3 linked regions of the Caenorhabditis elegans genome follow. The protein of the gene in region 3 interacts with the protein of the main gene of each other region in a biochemical or structural test. Each region holds a gene or a part of one and is shown on either strand. Other genes may lie near its edges.

Region 1 (4,593 bases), on a different chromosome or scaffold from region 3:
AGACTGCAAAGAGAGCCCGGAACACAGAAAGAGCTCAGTAAAGCTGCTTTCAATTTCTCAAGGGCAGTTGGAAAGAGTTGGCATGGTAACGGATGTCAATTTGAGCACGCATCAACAGATTTGCGTGCGCGGAAAGCGGATTTTTCAAGAGAATAAGCATATGTTCATAAAACGATTATCGAAAAATTTTTATTTTTAGAAATAAAATGAGAGATTAGACAGCAAGGTTTGGTGGGATTGGAACAATTTCATCTTCATCTTCTTCTTCCGGATTCCACCAACGAACATCCAACTTGCGTCCTTCGAAATCTTCATTGACAGGATCCCAGAGGTTATAATTGAAATTTGGACGTGGAGGTGGATTGAATGGCTTTTCCTGAAACATGAAAAGATATTAAACTCATCTCCAACTCATGTATAAACCGGTTCTGGAATGATGCAGCAAACAGCACTGGCCAAGATCAGGAAACATGCCAACTCGAATAAGATTGCAATCATGTTTCGTATAAACTAAAACTGTTTAATTTCCCTCGAGTATCTAAACTGTTCAAATGTGCTTCTTCAAAAGTTCACGTTTGCAAAAAAAAACATTGATGAAATTAATTACGGAACTTTATTTGGGTTCGATAGACAGGAAAACAATGAATAAAACTGTGGAGGGGCTTTTGGGGAGATCTTCTCGTAACAAATGATAAATTAAATAGGATGTTTAGTCGACCTCCTCCATGCGGGAAGCATCCTCCTCAGCTCCCTCAATCTTGGCCTCAGCGGTGCACGATGATGGAACAGCAGAATCTTCAATTTCGTCATCTCCGATATCGAGACCAAGCTTGATCATTCTGTAGATGCGGGAAGCGTGAGATTGTGGCTCCTCAAGGGAGAATCCGGAAGCGAGAAGAGCAGTCTCGAAAAGAAGAACAACCAAATCCTTAACGGTCTTGTCATTCTTATCGACCTCGACACGATCACGAAGTGTCCTGAAATAGCAAAAACGTTTGTGAATGTTCATTTTAAAATAGTTTTTGGGTAACTTACTTCATGATAGCGTGGTCTGGGTTGATTTCGAGATGCTTCTTGGCGGCCATGTATCCCATAGTAGAGGAATCACGAAGAGCTTGAGCTTTCATGATGCGCTCCATGTTAGCGGACCATCCGTACTCGGAAGTGACAATGCAGCATGGGGAAGAGACAAGACGGTTAGAAACTCCAACCTTCTCAACCTTCTTCTCCAAAATGTCCTTGATGACCTTGCAAAGGTTTTCGTAGGCAACCTTGTCCTCTTCGAACTTCTTCTTCTCCTCCTCGGTTTCTGGGAGCTCGAGTCCTTCCTTGGTGACGGAGACAAGCTTCTTTCCATCATACTCCTTGAGTTGTTGGACGCAGTACTCATCAATTGGGTCGCACATGTAGAGGACTTCGAATCCGCGGCTCTTAACACGCTCGACGAAAGCTGAAGCAGCAACAACATCCTTGGACTCTCCGGTGATGTAGTAGATTTGAGTTTGGTTCTCCTTCATGCGGGAAACGTATTCCTTGAGGGAAGTTGGCTCATCTCCAGCGGAGGTAGAGTAGCGAAGGAAATCGGAAAGCTTCTTGCGGTTAGTAGAGTCCTCGTGGATTCCGAGCTTGAGATTCTTTCCGAATTGCTCGTAGAACTTCTTGAAGTTGTCTTTGTCCTCGGCAACCTCGTCGATAAGCTCCATGCACTTCTTGACAAGATTCTTACGGATGACCTTCAAGATCTTGGATTGCTGGAGCATTTCACGAGAGATGTTAAGTGGAAGATCCTCAGAATCGACGACTCCCTTGATGAAGTTAAGGTATTCTGGCATGAGCTCTTCGCAGTTCTCCATGATGAAGACACGACGAACGTAGAGCTTGATGGAGTTCTTGCTCTTCTTGTTCTCGAAGAGATCAAATGGAGCTCTTTGTGGGACGAAGAGAAGAGCACGGAATTCAAGTTGTCCCTCAACGGAGAAATGCTTGACGGCAAGATGATCTTCCCAGTCATTGGACAAGCTCTGAAATTAATGGAATTATTGCCATAAAATAATTAAAACTAAAAATACCTTGTAGAACTCAGCATATTCTTCGTTGGAGATATCGTCTGGGTTTCTGGTCCAGATTGGCTTGGTCTTGTTAAGCTCTTCGTCTTCGAAGTACTTCTCCTTGATTTTCTTGGTCTTCTTCTTGTCAGCGTCGTCAGCGACGTTCTCGACCTCTCCCTCCTTCTTCTCCTCATCCTTAGCCTCGACAGCCTCCTCATCTTCAACCTCCTTCTCACGCTCCTTCTCAACCACAAGCTTGATTGGGTATCCGATGAACTGAGAATGCTTCTTAACGATCTCCTTGATCTTGCGCTCCTCGAGGAAGTCAATCTGATCCTCCTTGATGTGCATGACAATCTTCGTTCCACGGGTGACCTCTGGGTCATTGAATGGACGAACGACGAAAGAACCTCCTGCGGAAGACTCCCATTGATAGCTGTCATCATCGTTGTTCTTGGATGTGACGACAACCTTATCGGCGACAAGGAAAGCAGAGTAGAATCCGACTCCGAACTGACCAATCATGGAAATATCAGCTCCAGCTTGAAGAGCCTCCATGAAGGCCTTGGTTCCAGACTTGGCAATGGTTCCAAGGTTGTTGACAAGATCGGCCTTGGTCATTCCGATTCCGGTATCCATAATGGTAAGGGTCTTTTCCTCCTTGTTTGGAGTAATTTTGATGAACAATTCCTTTCCAGTGTCAAGCTCGGATGGCTCGGTGAGTGCCTAAAACCGATATTTTAAAAAATTGACTCAGAAGCGAAAAAACAAACCTGGTAGCGAATCTTGTCAAGAGCATCGGAGGCGTTTGAGATCAATTCACGCAAGTAGATTTCCTTGTTACTGTAGAAAGTGTTGATGATCAAGCTCATCAACTGAGCAATCTCAGCCTGGAATGCGAAGGTTTCGGCGTTCTCGGACATGGTTCTGGAAAAATATCAATTAACAATCGAGCAACAAAAACTGAATAGAACTTTATAACGATTCAATGAATGAAAGAGCACGCATGGCGAATGATTTCGAAACTAAAAACACATTATAACCTTATCTAGAAATGAACTAATTTTAGGCCTAAAACTATTGTTCAAAAACCTTTAAAAATCAAAAACAATGATCCGTGATTAACATAAAAGCCATATTAGTGAGAGGAAAACCAAAAATCTTCACCCGAAAACCGAAAGAACTGGGAATATCAGAGCTCTGAGGCGTAATTGAAGGTCTAAATTTTGAACAAGATGCGAAATGTTCTCGAAGGAGGGCGTGGCCTTTCAATTTGATTGGTTGGTTTTCAAATTGCCCTTTTCGGCGGAAAATTCTCGACGAAAATTGTCAATAGAGCGCGTTTTCAGCACCTGGCCGAAGTTTTGCAGAATAGGTAACTAGGCCACAAACATTTTCTTGTTTTTAGTTTGAATTGTTTTTTCTTCATTTTTTTCAGATTACTTCGTCGAAAAGACGTTTTTTTGGTATTTTTGCACCAAAAAAAAATCTAAAATTATTATTCTATATTAAATAAAATCCCGAAATAAACTATATGTCACTCTCAATATTGAACTCGTTGAAAAATATTGCTTTCATTGGTTTTTATTTTATTTTTGCAGTTAATAAAATGTCCCGCGCCGACGAAGGCCGCTTGATTCATTTGGCAAAGAAACGTGAGCGTGAAAAGGAAGATATCGAACAACAATTGCGAAAGCTTGAAGAAGACAAAGAAAAATGTATGGTGAAACCCCTTTTTAATTATTAAAACTACAAATTTTGCAGGCAGGGTCGGAATTACGAATAAATTCATGGCAAACTATGAAACAGTCGAAGAAGTCGTGAAGTCTAAAACCTATGGCTTGGTATCATTGGATGATATGAAAAATATTCAGAAAAACGAAATTTCAAACAGGTTCGATTTTCTACATTTTGGAGAGCCTCACAATAAAAATGTGTACCTTATAGAGATCTACAAGTGGCCCGGGGAGACCAATCATCTTCTACTCAATCTAAAGATTCACAAGAAGCTCGAGAAAAAGAAGAACACGTTGCAAAACATACCCAGGTAAATGTGAAGGATTGCTGTAGAAATTTGGTTGTAGGCTCTAGACTCGGGTAGCAGTTGTAGTTCAATTGACTAGAGATTTCTCGTCGAAAGAGTCTTTTATACCAGATTTCTAAAAATTTGAGAACTTTCGAGAAAGAAAAATTGAGGGCAGGTGAGAGTGTGAGGAAACGCAGATATAAAACATTTTTGTAGAACATTCGAGAAAAACTGTTTTAATATTGCTAATTTCAGAAGCGATTTTTATCGTTTGCATTTGATGACGAAGAGGACGAAGAAGATGCTGCACCAATTATCCCGAAAAAGGTAAGAATAATAATTAAAAAGAAAAAATTAAAGCGAAAAATGTTTGCAGCGCGTTGGAATGGACCCAACTGTCGACACAAGCTTCCTGCCTGATAAAGAACGAGAGGAGTTCTTGAGAAAGTGAGTTCTAGAAGAAAAAACAACGACATTTCAAATTTTGGCGGGTGTAGATCATCCCGGTGAACAAATAAA
Region 2 (4,997 bases), on a different chromosome or scaffold from region 3:
ATGAAAATTGAATTTTAAACTTTAATTTTTTTAAAAATCTAAAATTTGTGAGTTTTTCACATATAAAAAATTAAAATTTAACTTAAAACCGTGATTTCTTATAATTTCCATCGTTTTTCTGAATTTTCGAAAATTGTGTCCAAGTGGTGCAGTGGGATTTTCGCCGACTACCAATCATACCTCCGGGGTTCGAGTCCCCGCTGTGGTAAAAAATTTTTATTTTGATTTTTAAATGGTTTTCGGATAATTCCACCATGCGGAATCCGAATTTTCAAGTTTTAGAACACAAAAACTACGAGAACATGGTGAAAATTGAATTTTAAACTTTAATTTTTTTTAAAATCTAAAATTTGTGAGTTTTTCACATATAAAAATTTAAAATTTAACTTAAAACCGTGATTTCTTATAATTTCCATCGTTTTTCTGAATTTTCAAAAAAATGTGTCCAAGTGGCGCAGTGGGATTTTCGCCGACTACCAATCACACCTCCGGGGTTCGAGCCCCCAGCGTGGTCGAATTTTTTTGTATCTTTTGTATTTTTCTCCAAACAAGTTAATCATGCAAACTTCATATGTTTTTCACCTGAAAATTGCCAAATTTTCTGCACTATATTCAAATTTATTAGCATTTTTTCTAGAATGTACACGTGGAAATCACTACTAAATTATGGTAAATAGCGTAGCAAATCATCATCAAATCAAATACTAAAAGATTCTCCGCATCCACACGTTCCTTTAATATTAGGATTTCGGAAAACGAATTCCGACGATAGCTTATCGGTGACGTAATCCATTTCTGAGCCGAGTAGCGAGAGCTGAGCTTTTGGTTCGATCCACACTTTGATTCCGTCCTGGAAAATGGGAAAAATTGGGGGATTTTTCATCGAAATTAGTGAAAATCCGGGTTTTTTGTGATAAATTTGAGCTAAAAATCCAGATTTTGAGGCAATTTCTACCTGCTCAACTTCCTCGTCAAATTTCTGCTTATCCTTTGCATATTCCAGTGTATATGTTAACCCATTACAGCCTTTTTGTCGAACTCCGATCTGAAAAAATTAAAAATTTCATCATTTCCGGCGGCGCAAAAATCGAAAAATCGAAAAATCGACGGAAAAAACGAACTTTCAACGCATTTGCATCATTCTGTTGAGCCAATAACACGCGTATTCTGCTGACGGCTTCGTTGGTAAGTGTGAGAGCCGCTCTGAAACTTTTTCGGGGTGAAAATTGGCAGATTTCCGGGAAAATTCAGAATTACCTCGTTTGTCGGACTTTTAGCGCGCCTTTTATGACTTTTGCAGTTGCTCCACCGAATTTTGACATCGGAAAATTGAAAATTTAGTCGAAAAATGAGTAAAATAGCGAAAATTCCAGAAATAAAATGAAAAAAAAAAAAAAAGTGACAACGTTGCTCCGAAATCCCGGCCACGCGTGTAGTTTACCGTAAATCCAAACAAGAAATTTTTTGTCAAAATTGCCGAAATCAAGCGATTTTTAAGCTTTTTTTCTGTAAATTTTTTACGAAAATATGAAAAAATCAACGTTTTCATGCTATTATTTATTTTTCCCCTGTAAAAAACCTTTGAAATCATCGAAAAACCCTTAAAATCCAATAAAAACCCAAACACAACGACACTCCGCTCACCTCCCACCGCGTGTTGTTTACCGTAAATCCACACACAAGAGCAATTGTGCAAAAAAAAAAAACCCCGTCCAACCGGAAATTGTCCCAAAATTCTTCATTTTCTATCGATTTTCTTGCATTTTTTGTGTTTTTTGTGAATTTCAGGCTCAACATTTCGAAAAACACGGTTAAATTTTAGGGAAACCGCTCCGAAATTCGGTTTTTTTCGCTAAAAAAAAAGAGAAAAAAAAGAAAAAAAAAAATAAAATCTAAATTTTCAGGCTCCGAAATGGCTGCCACTATAACAGATGACATTGTGGCGACAGTTTTGGAGTCAATTGAGGAAAAGTCGTACGAAGATGAGAAGGAGAAGGCTGGAATGATTAAAGATGAAGCTAATCAGTTTTTTAAGGGTATTTTTTGGAAAAAAACCGATTTTTTGATGAATTTTAAAGTATTTTCCTGCTGCAGATCAAGTGTACGACGTGGCCGCCGACCTCTACTCTGTCGCAATTGAGATTCATCCGACGGCGGTTCTTTACGGAAACCGTGCACAGGCCTATCTGAAGAAAGAGCTCTACGGAAGTGCTCTTGAGGATGCGGACAACGCGATTGCAATTGATCCGTCATATGTGAAGGGATTCTATAGAAGAGCTACCGCCAATATGGCTCTGGGGCGGTTTAAAAAGGCGTTGACCGATTATCAGGCGGTTGTTAAGGTGAAAATTCACTTTTTTTGGGTGTTGAAGAGCGGAAAAAACGGCGGTTTAGAAACTATTTTTCACCCGGTTTAAGAGAAAATTTCGAAAAAATATATCAATTTTCACCTCCAGAAAGTCGGAAAACGCGAAAAATTTGAAATTTTGCTTTTTCAATTTTGGGCGCTGCTAAGACTACAAACTACAAGATTTTGGGCGCTGCTAATTCAATTTTGGGCGCTGCTTAGACTACAAACTACAATATTTTGGGCGCTGCTTAGACTACAAACTACAAGATTTTGGGCGCTGCTAATTCAATTTTGGGCGCTGCTTAGACTACAAACTACAAGTTTTGGGCGCTGCTAATTCAATTTTGGGCGCTGTTAGACTACAAACTACAATATTTTGGGCGCTGCTAATTTAATTTTGGGCGCTGCTTAAACTACAAACTACAAGTTTTGGGCGCTGCTAATTCAATTTTGGGCGCTGCTGACAGCTTTCGGCCGAAAAAATTGAAAAGAAATCGATATTTATGAAAAAAAAAACCAATTTTTATGAGAAAAACGTGATTTTTGATAATTTTTCTCTCAAATTTAGTATAATTTCAAAAATTCCCGTATTTTTCCCCGAAAAAATTTCCATTTTTTTGCAGGTTTGCCCCAACGACAAAGACGCTCGCGCAAAATTCGACGAATGCTCGAAAATCGTCCGCCGACAGAAGTTTGAAGCCGCAATTTCGACGGATCACGACAAGAAAACCGTCGCCGAGACTCTTGATATTAATGCAATGGCTATTGAGGATTCGTATGATGGTCCACGGCTGGAAGATAAAGTACGGGTGGAAAATGGCTGTGAAAATCGATTTTTAGACGGAAAATTGATGTAAAACCGGCAATTTTGACCCCGAAATTCAATTTTCAGAGCGGAAATTGCGATTTTCGGTGGAAAACTGATGTAAAAATCAATTTTTCATAGAAATTTGATCTAAAAAACGGTCCAAAAACATAAATTTTTGTGAAAATCGATCTAAAAATACGTTTTTCAAGGGTAATAGGCCAGAAATTCGAATTTTTTTGCGAAAATTAGTCCAAAAAATCGATTTTTCAAGGGAAAAGTGGTCCTGAAACTATTTTTCATAAAAATTAATTTGAAAATCTATTTTTCACTGCAATTTTAACCCAAAAATCGATTTTTCACAAAAAAAAACTAGCATTTCCGGTCAGAAAACGTGCAAATTTCCAATCTTTTTTGGATTTTCTGGAATTTTCATTAAAAAATTGGTCCAAAAATCTATTTTTCATAGAAATTTAGTCCAAAAGTCAATTTTTCACGAAAAATTCGCCTGAAAATCATTTTTTTTTCATAGAAATTTAGTCTAAAAATCGATTTTCCGCAAAAAATACAGAAAAAAAGTGAATTTTTCGTTAAAAAAAAGCGAAAAATTGAGTTTTTTCCCGTTTTTTCCGTAAAAAACCGCAAAAATGATCAAAATCCTTTTCAGATAACCAAGGAATTCGTGTTGCAACTCATCAAAACGTTCAAAAATCAGCAAAAATTGCACAAAAAGTACGCGTTCAAGATGCTCCTCGAGTTTTATAATTATGTCAAATCACTGCCAACAATGGTTGAAATTACGGTGCCAACTGGCAAGAAATTCACGATTTGCGGTGATGTTCACGGACAATTCTACGATTTGTGCAATATTTTCGAGATTAATGGATATCCATCGGAGACTAATCCATATGTACGGGGAAAGCGCTGAAAAATGAGAGATTTTGACTGAAAATCCGGGAAAATTGAGGAATTTTGAGCTAAAATTCATAAAAATTTCCAATTTTTGACCGAAAATCATGAAAATAGGCAAATTTTGTGATATAATCATGTTTTCTAGTGAAAAACCTCTAAAAATTGAATTTTTTTGCAGAAATTATTGAAATAAGCTCAATAAATCGACATTTTGATTGAAATTCGTGAAAAAATTTCAAACATTAAAACCAAAACAGCTGAAAATTGAGGAATTTTCACCAAAAATGCGGATTTTCAGATAAAAACCCTGAAATGATTTTTTTTTTCAAAGTTTTGGCAGAAGTCATTGAAAAATTCCGAATTTTTAGCAAAAAGCAAAAAAATTGCCAATTTTTGACTTTAAATTTATGAAAAATGCTCGATTTTTTTACTAAAAACCGCCTGAAAGCCAAAATTTTGTCAAAAATCTTGAAAAAGTCGAATTTTCTACAAAAAACCATCAAAATTTCGAAATTTTGACTTAAAAATCAATGCAAAATATTTTTTTTTCACTAAAAAGCTGAAAAATGCTCTTTTTTAATGCTCGAAATTTTGGCTAAAATTCATTTTAAAAAATCCTGATTTTCACCAAAAATTGGCAATTTTTCATCAAAAAACTTGAAAAAATTTCAATTTTTTGCTGAAATTGCAGAAATACCACAAAAATTACCAAATTTTGACTCTAAAAATCACGAAAACACCTAATTTTCACCCCAAAAACCCCCGAAAATGGCCAAATTTTCACTTAAAATATGTGAAAAATGCTCAAAAAATGGCCAAATTTTCAGCTTTTCAACGGTGATTTCGTGGATCGTGGCTCATTTTCCGTTGAAACAATTTTCACAATGATTGGCTTCAAACTTCTATACCCAAATCATTTCTTTATGTCAC
Region 3 (4,893 bases):
ACTCTGCGCCTCAACTCCCGCATTTTTTGTAGATCTACGTAGATCACGCCGAAATGGCACGTTATTGGGTCTGCTAAATCAAAATTTGAAGTTTGTAGGCTAGCAGACCCATCCTAGACTCACTTCCATACAAGCTCAATTGTGCCAAGGAAAATGGGACAAAAACTAGTAGAATAAGCCGCGAATTTACCATTTTCAGCCAAAAAATGACCGATAATACATCCATTATTGAACTTTATAGTTGTCAGGCGGAGACTAACGTTTGCTTACAAAACATCACTTTCAAAAAATCGTGAGAAAAAAAAACGAATAAACACAATAAGAAGAAAGTTGATGATGATAATCTTTATGCTATTCCGAATTGGAATTTTTGAATACGAAGTGGAACGATTCTCGAAGCAAAAAAAAACTTTTTTACAGGTGTTCGAGAGGGAAAATAAACAGTAAATGTCGTGGGGGGTGTAGAATAAATAAAGAAATAATTGGGCCATTTTCAGTGAATCTTGGGGAAAAAGTAAAGTGCGGTGCAGAAAAAACAAGTAGATCAGGGGAACTTTCAAACGGGGAATAATGGGGAAATTTAGGAGCTGGTTGTTGGCTCTTCCTCGGCTGGAGCAGCTTCCTCATCGTCGTCGTCGTCGTCAGCTTTTCCGGGCACCCAGAGTCCAGAGGCGATGCATCGATCGAAATGGTACTTGAAGACCTGAAAATTTGGATTTTTGGATGTTGAAATTAGATGAATTTGGCTAAAAATAATAGCCTACAAACTACTAATTTCGATTTAGCAGACCATAGGTGGTTTTGAAGAAATTTGGTCTGCTAGACTACAAACTACAAAACTCGATTTAGCAGACCAAAATTAAAAAATGCCTGTTTTCAGCTTAAAATTTTGATTTTTGATTCGTTTTTTTTTGGAATACAATGTTAATTCACTCAAAAATTTGAAAATAGATCAATTTTCCCCCGAAAGTTCAGATTTTTTCAGGATTTTATATTAAAATACGCACTTTTGTCTTAAAACACAAAAATCGCACAATTTTCCACTAAAAATCGCAAAAAACCTGAATTTTTGCTAATTTCTATTTGAAAAATATTCATTTTTCCGCTGAAAAATTGAAAATTTATCAATTTTTGCAATTTTCATTGCGAAAATTGAAAACTTTGGGTCTGCTAGTCTACAAACTACACATTTCGATTTAGCAGACCAATGCCATTTTGAAGAACCTTGGTCTGCTAGACTACAAACTACAAATTCCGATTTAGCAGACCAATGCCATTTGGAAGAAACTTGGTCTGCTAGACTACAAACTACAAATTTCAATTTAGCAGACCCAAATATTCACCTCTTCATCCATTTTCTGGGCGACACCCTTCAACGCCTCGATATCATGTGCCTCAAAGCACTTTCTCATCTCCTCCGGCAGCTGCTCGAACACTTCCTGTGGATCGATTCCTCCCGGAGCACTCTTCATTCGTTCGGCTTTCTCCTCGGCTTCAGCCTCCTCCATCGCGGCGTCTCTCTTCGTCTGCGCACGTGTTCTGAGACGATCCTCGAACGCCTTCACCTCATCCTGATAGTGCTTCATGTAGACCGGCTCGGCGGCTTCGAACTTCTTGAAGAATTGCTTCTGGACGGTGGTATTCGTGGCGACTGCGTTCAGCGATTTCGAGAGCTCCAGAAGATATTGAATGATGATGCATTGCTCAGCCATCGTCTTCATTTTCTCCTCATTAAAATCGATGGCGGCGTTGAGAGCCTCAATTGTGAGCCAATTTGCAGTGTACTCCGACGCCATATGCGGATGCTCGGCCAGGAACAGCTCCGTCGACTTGGCTCCGTTCTTGAGCACGGCCATCTTCTCCAGAAGGCTCTCGTGAGTCTCGAAGAAAGTGCTCATCGCATGAGTGTCCTCCTCATCGGTTTTGGGAGCTTGCGGCTTCTTCTCGGTGATCTGAAATTACAGAATTAATCAATTTGCACAGAAAAATCTTCAAAACCTTATTGATCCTCGACGTGCTGAACGCCTCATGACCGATCGTGTCGACGTTCCATGGCTCCAGACGCTCTTTCTCCTCGAGTTCGGCCTCCTTCTTGCGCCAGGCTTCTTCTTGCGCCTTCACCTCGTCGATTTGCTTCTGAATATCCGACTTGTCAGTGACATCGGCTGCGGCAAGCTTCTTCTCGAGCTCCTCCATCTTCTTGCTCGTCGTGCCCTTTTCCTTATCGATTTTCTCCTGTTCCATCTTCTTCTCGGCCATTCGCTCCAAACGAGCTTGATGGCGCCATCTGAAGAGCGACGGAGTGTCAATGTTCGGGTGAGTGTCGTCCTCGTCGTCGGAAACCTCGATATCCTTCCATTTGGAGTAGTCGATTGGCATTTTTGAGCTGAAAATCGAGAAAATTGAGTGGAAAATAAGGAATTAGCAGGAAAAGCGAGAGAAAACTGATAATCGCTGGAAAATTCCGACTCGGTTGCCACGACAACGAGGATAATCCGCGTGAAATTACGAAAACAGAAATTTCATGAAGAAAACGTGGCATTATAATGATGTTTCAAAGGATTTACGTGGAATTAACTATTTGCTGAGCAATTTTCGAGAAATTTCTTCAAAATTTCTCAAATAGAAATACTACGTTTTCTAGCGGATTTCGGCCTTTTTTTTGGCCCAAAACTCCGACAAATTGATTTTTAAAAGCCTGTAGAATTAAATTTAGACTTCTAAAAGTGGAAAAAATCGAAGGAAACCCCGAAAATAACATGAGAAAGGCGAAAAATGACTTTTGTTTTTCTTCTCGGTCCTTCTGTGGCAATGCGCGTCAGATATGGTGTTTTCTGTGTGCTTCTGCGTCACGGTGTTTGCACACAATTCCTTTTTCGCTGATTTTTTTAATTTTCAGCGCGCTGCAGCGCCATTTCTTGCATTTTTCAAGCATTTCCATTGATTTTTCCGCGAAAAAACATCTGAAATTTCAAAAAATCAATGTTAAACTCACAATTTTTCTTCTTCGCACTCGCTGTCCCTCTTGAAAACTCGCGAAATGACTGTATTTCCTTTTTTTTTCACGCAAAATTTCCAAATTTCCATGTTTTCAGGGTAGTTCAACACGTGAAAATGGCTCTTCTCACCTCAAAGCTTCGGTATCTTCTGCTCTTCTACGCAGTCTTCCAGGCTGCTCAATTTGGCCTCCGCTGGAAGTCTTATGACATCTCGCCGAAGCAGTTCAAGACTATCGCTGGAAAGGCTGCTGGTGAGGAAAAACATATTTTTCTGCGAAAATACCGCAATTTTAATATATTGTATATTTTCAGCTGCTCCAACAATCTCCCAGTCAATTTCCACATTGACGTCTGGAATGCGCACTTATTACGAGCCAATCATGCCAAGTCACTTCGAATGGCACGCTATTCAGTTGGGAGGCCTCACTTTAAGGGTGAGGAACAGGAAAAATCGAAAAAAAATCTTAAATTTAATGAATTTTCCAGATGTACCCAATGCTGACCGCTTTCACCGAGTTCGCCGCCGCCTTCTCCGCTCCGTTCCCAACTTCAGGACGCCCGGGGCTCCATTGGGCAAATACGACGTGCACCGTGTTGAAAGGAAAAGTCAGCCGATTCAATGACGGAACTCAGGACGAGACGTCGGAGAACTTTGCTTCGGGAGCCGCTTTCAGGCACGGACAGTTCGAGTCCCACGTGTACAGCTTCGAGAAGGACACCTACGTCGCGTGCTACGGTAAATTACACCGAAAATCAAGGAAAATTCGTTTTTTTTTGAGTCTGGCAGACCAATTTCGAATTAAAATCACCTGGGTCTGCTAAATATAATTTTGTAGTTTGTAGTCTAGCAGACCAATTTCGAAATCAAATCACTTGGTCTGCTAAATATAATTTTGTAGTTTGTAGTCTAGCAGACCAATTTCGAACTGAAATCGCATGGTCTGCTAAATACAGTTTTGTAGTTTGTAGTCTAGCAGACCAATTTCGAATTGAAATCACTTGGGTCTGCTAAATATAATTTTGTAGTTTGTAGTCTAGCAGACCAATTTCGAACTGAAATCGCTTGGTCTGCTAAATATAATTTTGTAGTTTGTAGTCAACCAGACCCATATAAAAATCCCCTCGTTTCTAATGAATTTTTATATTTTTCAGGTCGCGGCTTCCTCCCACTCTCCTCCACCGTCCACGTCACCTCTGGAATCTCACTCGGCGAGCCACTCTCGGTCATTCAATTCTACATGAAGCAGGCCTACAACTACTGGAACAACCTGAGCCACACCCTCTATCGTGTCTTCCAGCACTACAAGGCCCGCGCCACTGGAGAACTTTAAATAATTTATGTGATTCCCCATCCGGTGCATTTCTACAAGCATTCTAACCCGAAATTTTCATTTATTCAGTCATGTTTTATCCCAATGTCCCCCCTCTACTTCCATTTTTACGGTTGTGTAATTCGATTTCTTGAGCCATTTTATTGCATAATTTAAAATACAAGAACATATTTATTTCATCACCTCAACCATTTAACCATATAGCTCAACCGAAAAAAATAATTGCACAGGTATTTGAAGGCATTTGCAGTGAAAGATGATCAAAAGTCGCTGCTTACTCATCGTCGGCCAGCCGGACGAATCGAACAGTAGTTCTGGTGAGGGAAACCTTTGCCTTGATCCCTCTTTTGCACACAATTTGGACGTGTTGAACCATTCCATCATCCACGACCAGAGGATCTTCGTATCTAGTAAAGTCTATTCCGCGGAGAATAGTTCCATGTACAGGATGCTCAATATTCAGACCATCTACAACAAGATCACTGATTCTCAGCTGTGAGTTCTGAATCCAGATCTTCAAGAACAAGTTGACATCCTTTGCAGTCATTGAGTGGTGCAATGAA

What was found.
Region 1: the proteins of cdc-37 (region 3) and hsp-90 form a complex in vitro, tested with the Caenorhabditis elegans proteins (3 studies listed by BioGRID).
Region 2: of the proteins of cdc-37 (region 3) and pph-5, one has a biochemical effect on the other in vitro, tested with the Caenorhabditis elegans proteins (one study listed by BioGRID).

The regions. Positions count from the first base shown.
Region 1 is NC_003283.11:14,684,542-14,689,134, reverse strand, and holds hsp-90 (Heat shock protein 90), read right to left. Parts: upstream 2,976-4,593; 5' UTR 2,972-2,975; coding exon 2,822-2,971; intron 2,775-2,821; coding exon 2,070-2,774; intron 2,022-2,069; coding exon 1,036-2,021; intron 978-1,035; coding exon 710-977; 3' UTR 596-709; downstream 1-595. Other genes in the region: C47E8.11 (uncharacterized protein), read right to left, coding at 215-376, 424-498; C47E8.4 (Protein FAM50 homolog), read left to right, coding at 3,658-3,766, 3,813-3,942, 3,996-4,095, 4,330-4,401, 4,451-4,521. UniProt on the Caenorhabditis elegans protein: Molecular chaperone that promotes the maturation, structural maintenance and proper regulation of specific target proteins involved for instance in cell cycle control and signal transduction. Undergoes a functional cycle that is linked to its ATPase activity.
Region 2 is NC_003283.11:19,188,643-19,193,639, forward strand, and holds the start of pph-5 (Serine/threonine-protein phosphatase 5), read left to right. Parts: upstream 1-1,904; 5' UTR 1,905-1,912; coding exon 1,913-2,036; intron 2,037-2,094; coding exon 2,095-2,342; intron 2,343-2,973; coding exon 2,974-3,153; intron 3,154-3,822; coding exon 3,823-4,065; intron 4,066-4,894; coding exon 4,895-4,997. Other genes in the region: Y39B6A.3 (Iron-sulfur cluster assembly 1 homolog, mitochondrial), read right to left, coding at 698-850, 956-1,045, 1,122-1,209, 1,258-1,322.
Region 3 is NC_003280.10:577,507-582,399, forward strand, and holds cdc-37 (Hsp90 chaperone protein kinase-targeting subunit), read right to left. Parts: upstream 3,088-4,893; coding exon 2,996-3,087; intron 2,387-2,995; coding exon 1,999-2,386; intron 1,953-1,998; coding exon 1,344-1,952; intron 1,209-1,343; exon of another isoform or gene 1,155-1,208; intron 704-1,154; coding exon 581-703; downstream 1-580. Other genes in the region: W08F4.7 (CW domain-containing protein), read right to left, coding at 124-226; W08F4.3 (Sigma non-opioid intracellular receptor 1), read left to right, coding at 3,115-3,250, 3,312-3,433, 3,486-3,735, 4,152-4,330; fbxb-14 (F-box associated domain-containing protein), read right to left, coding at 4,605-4,893.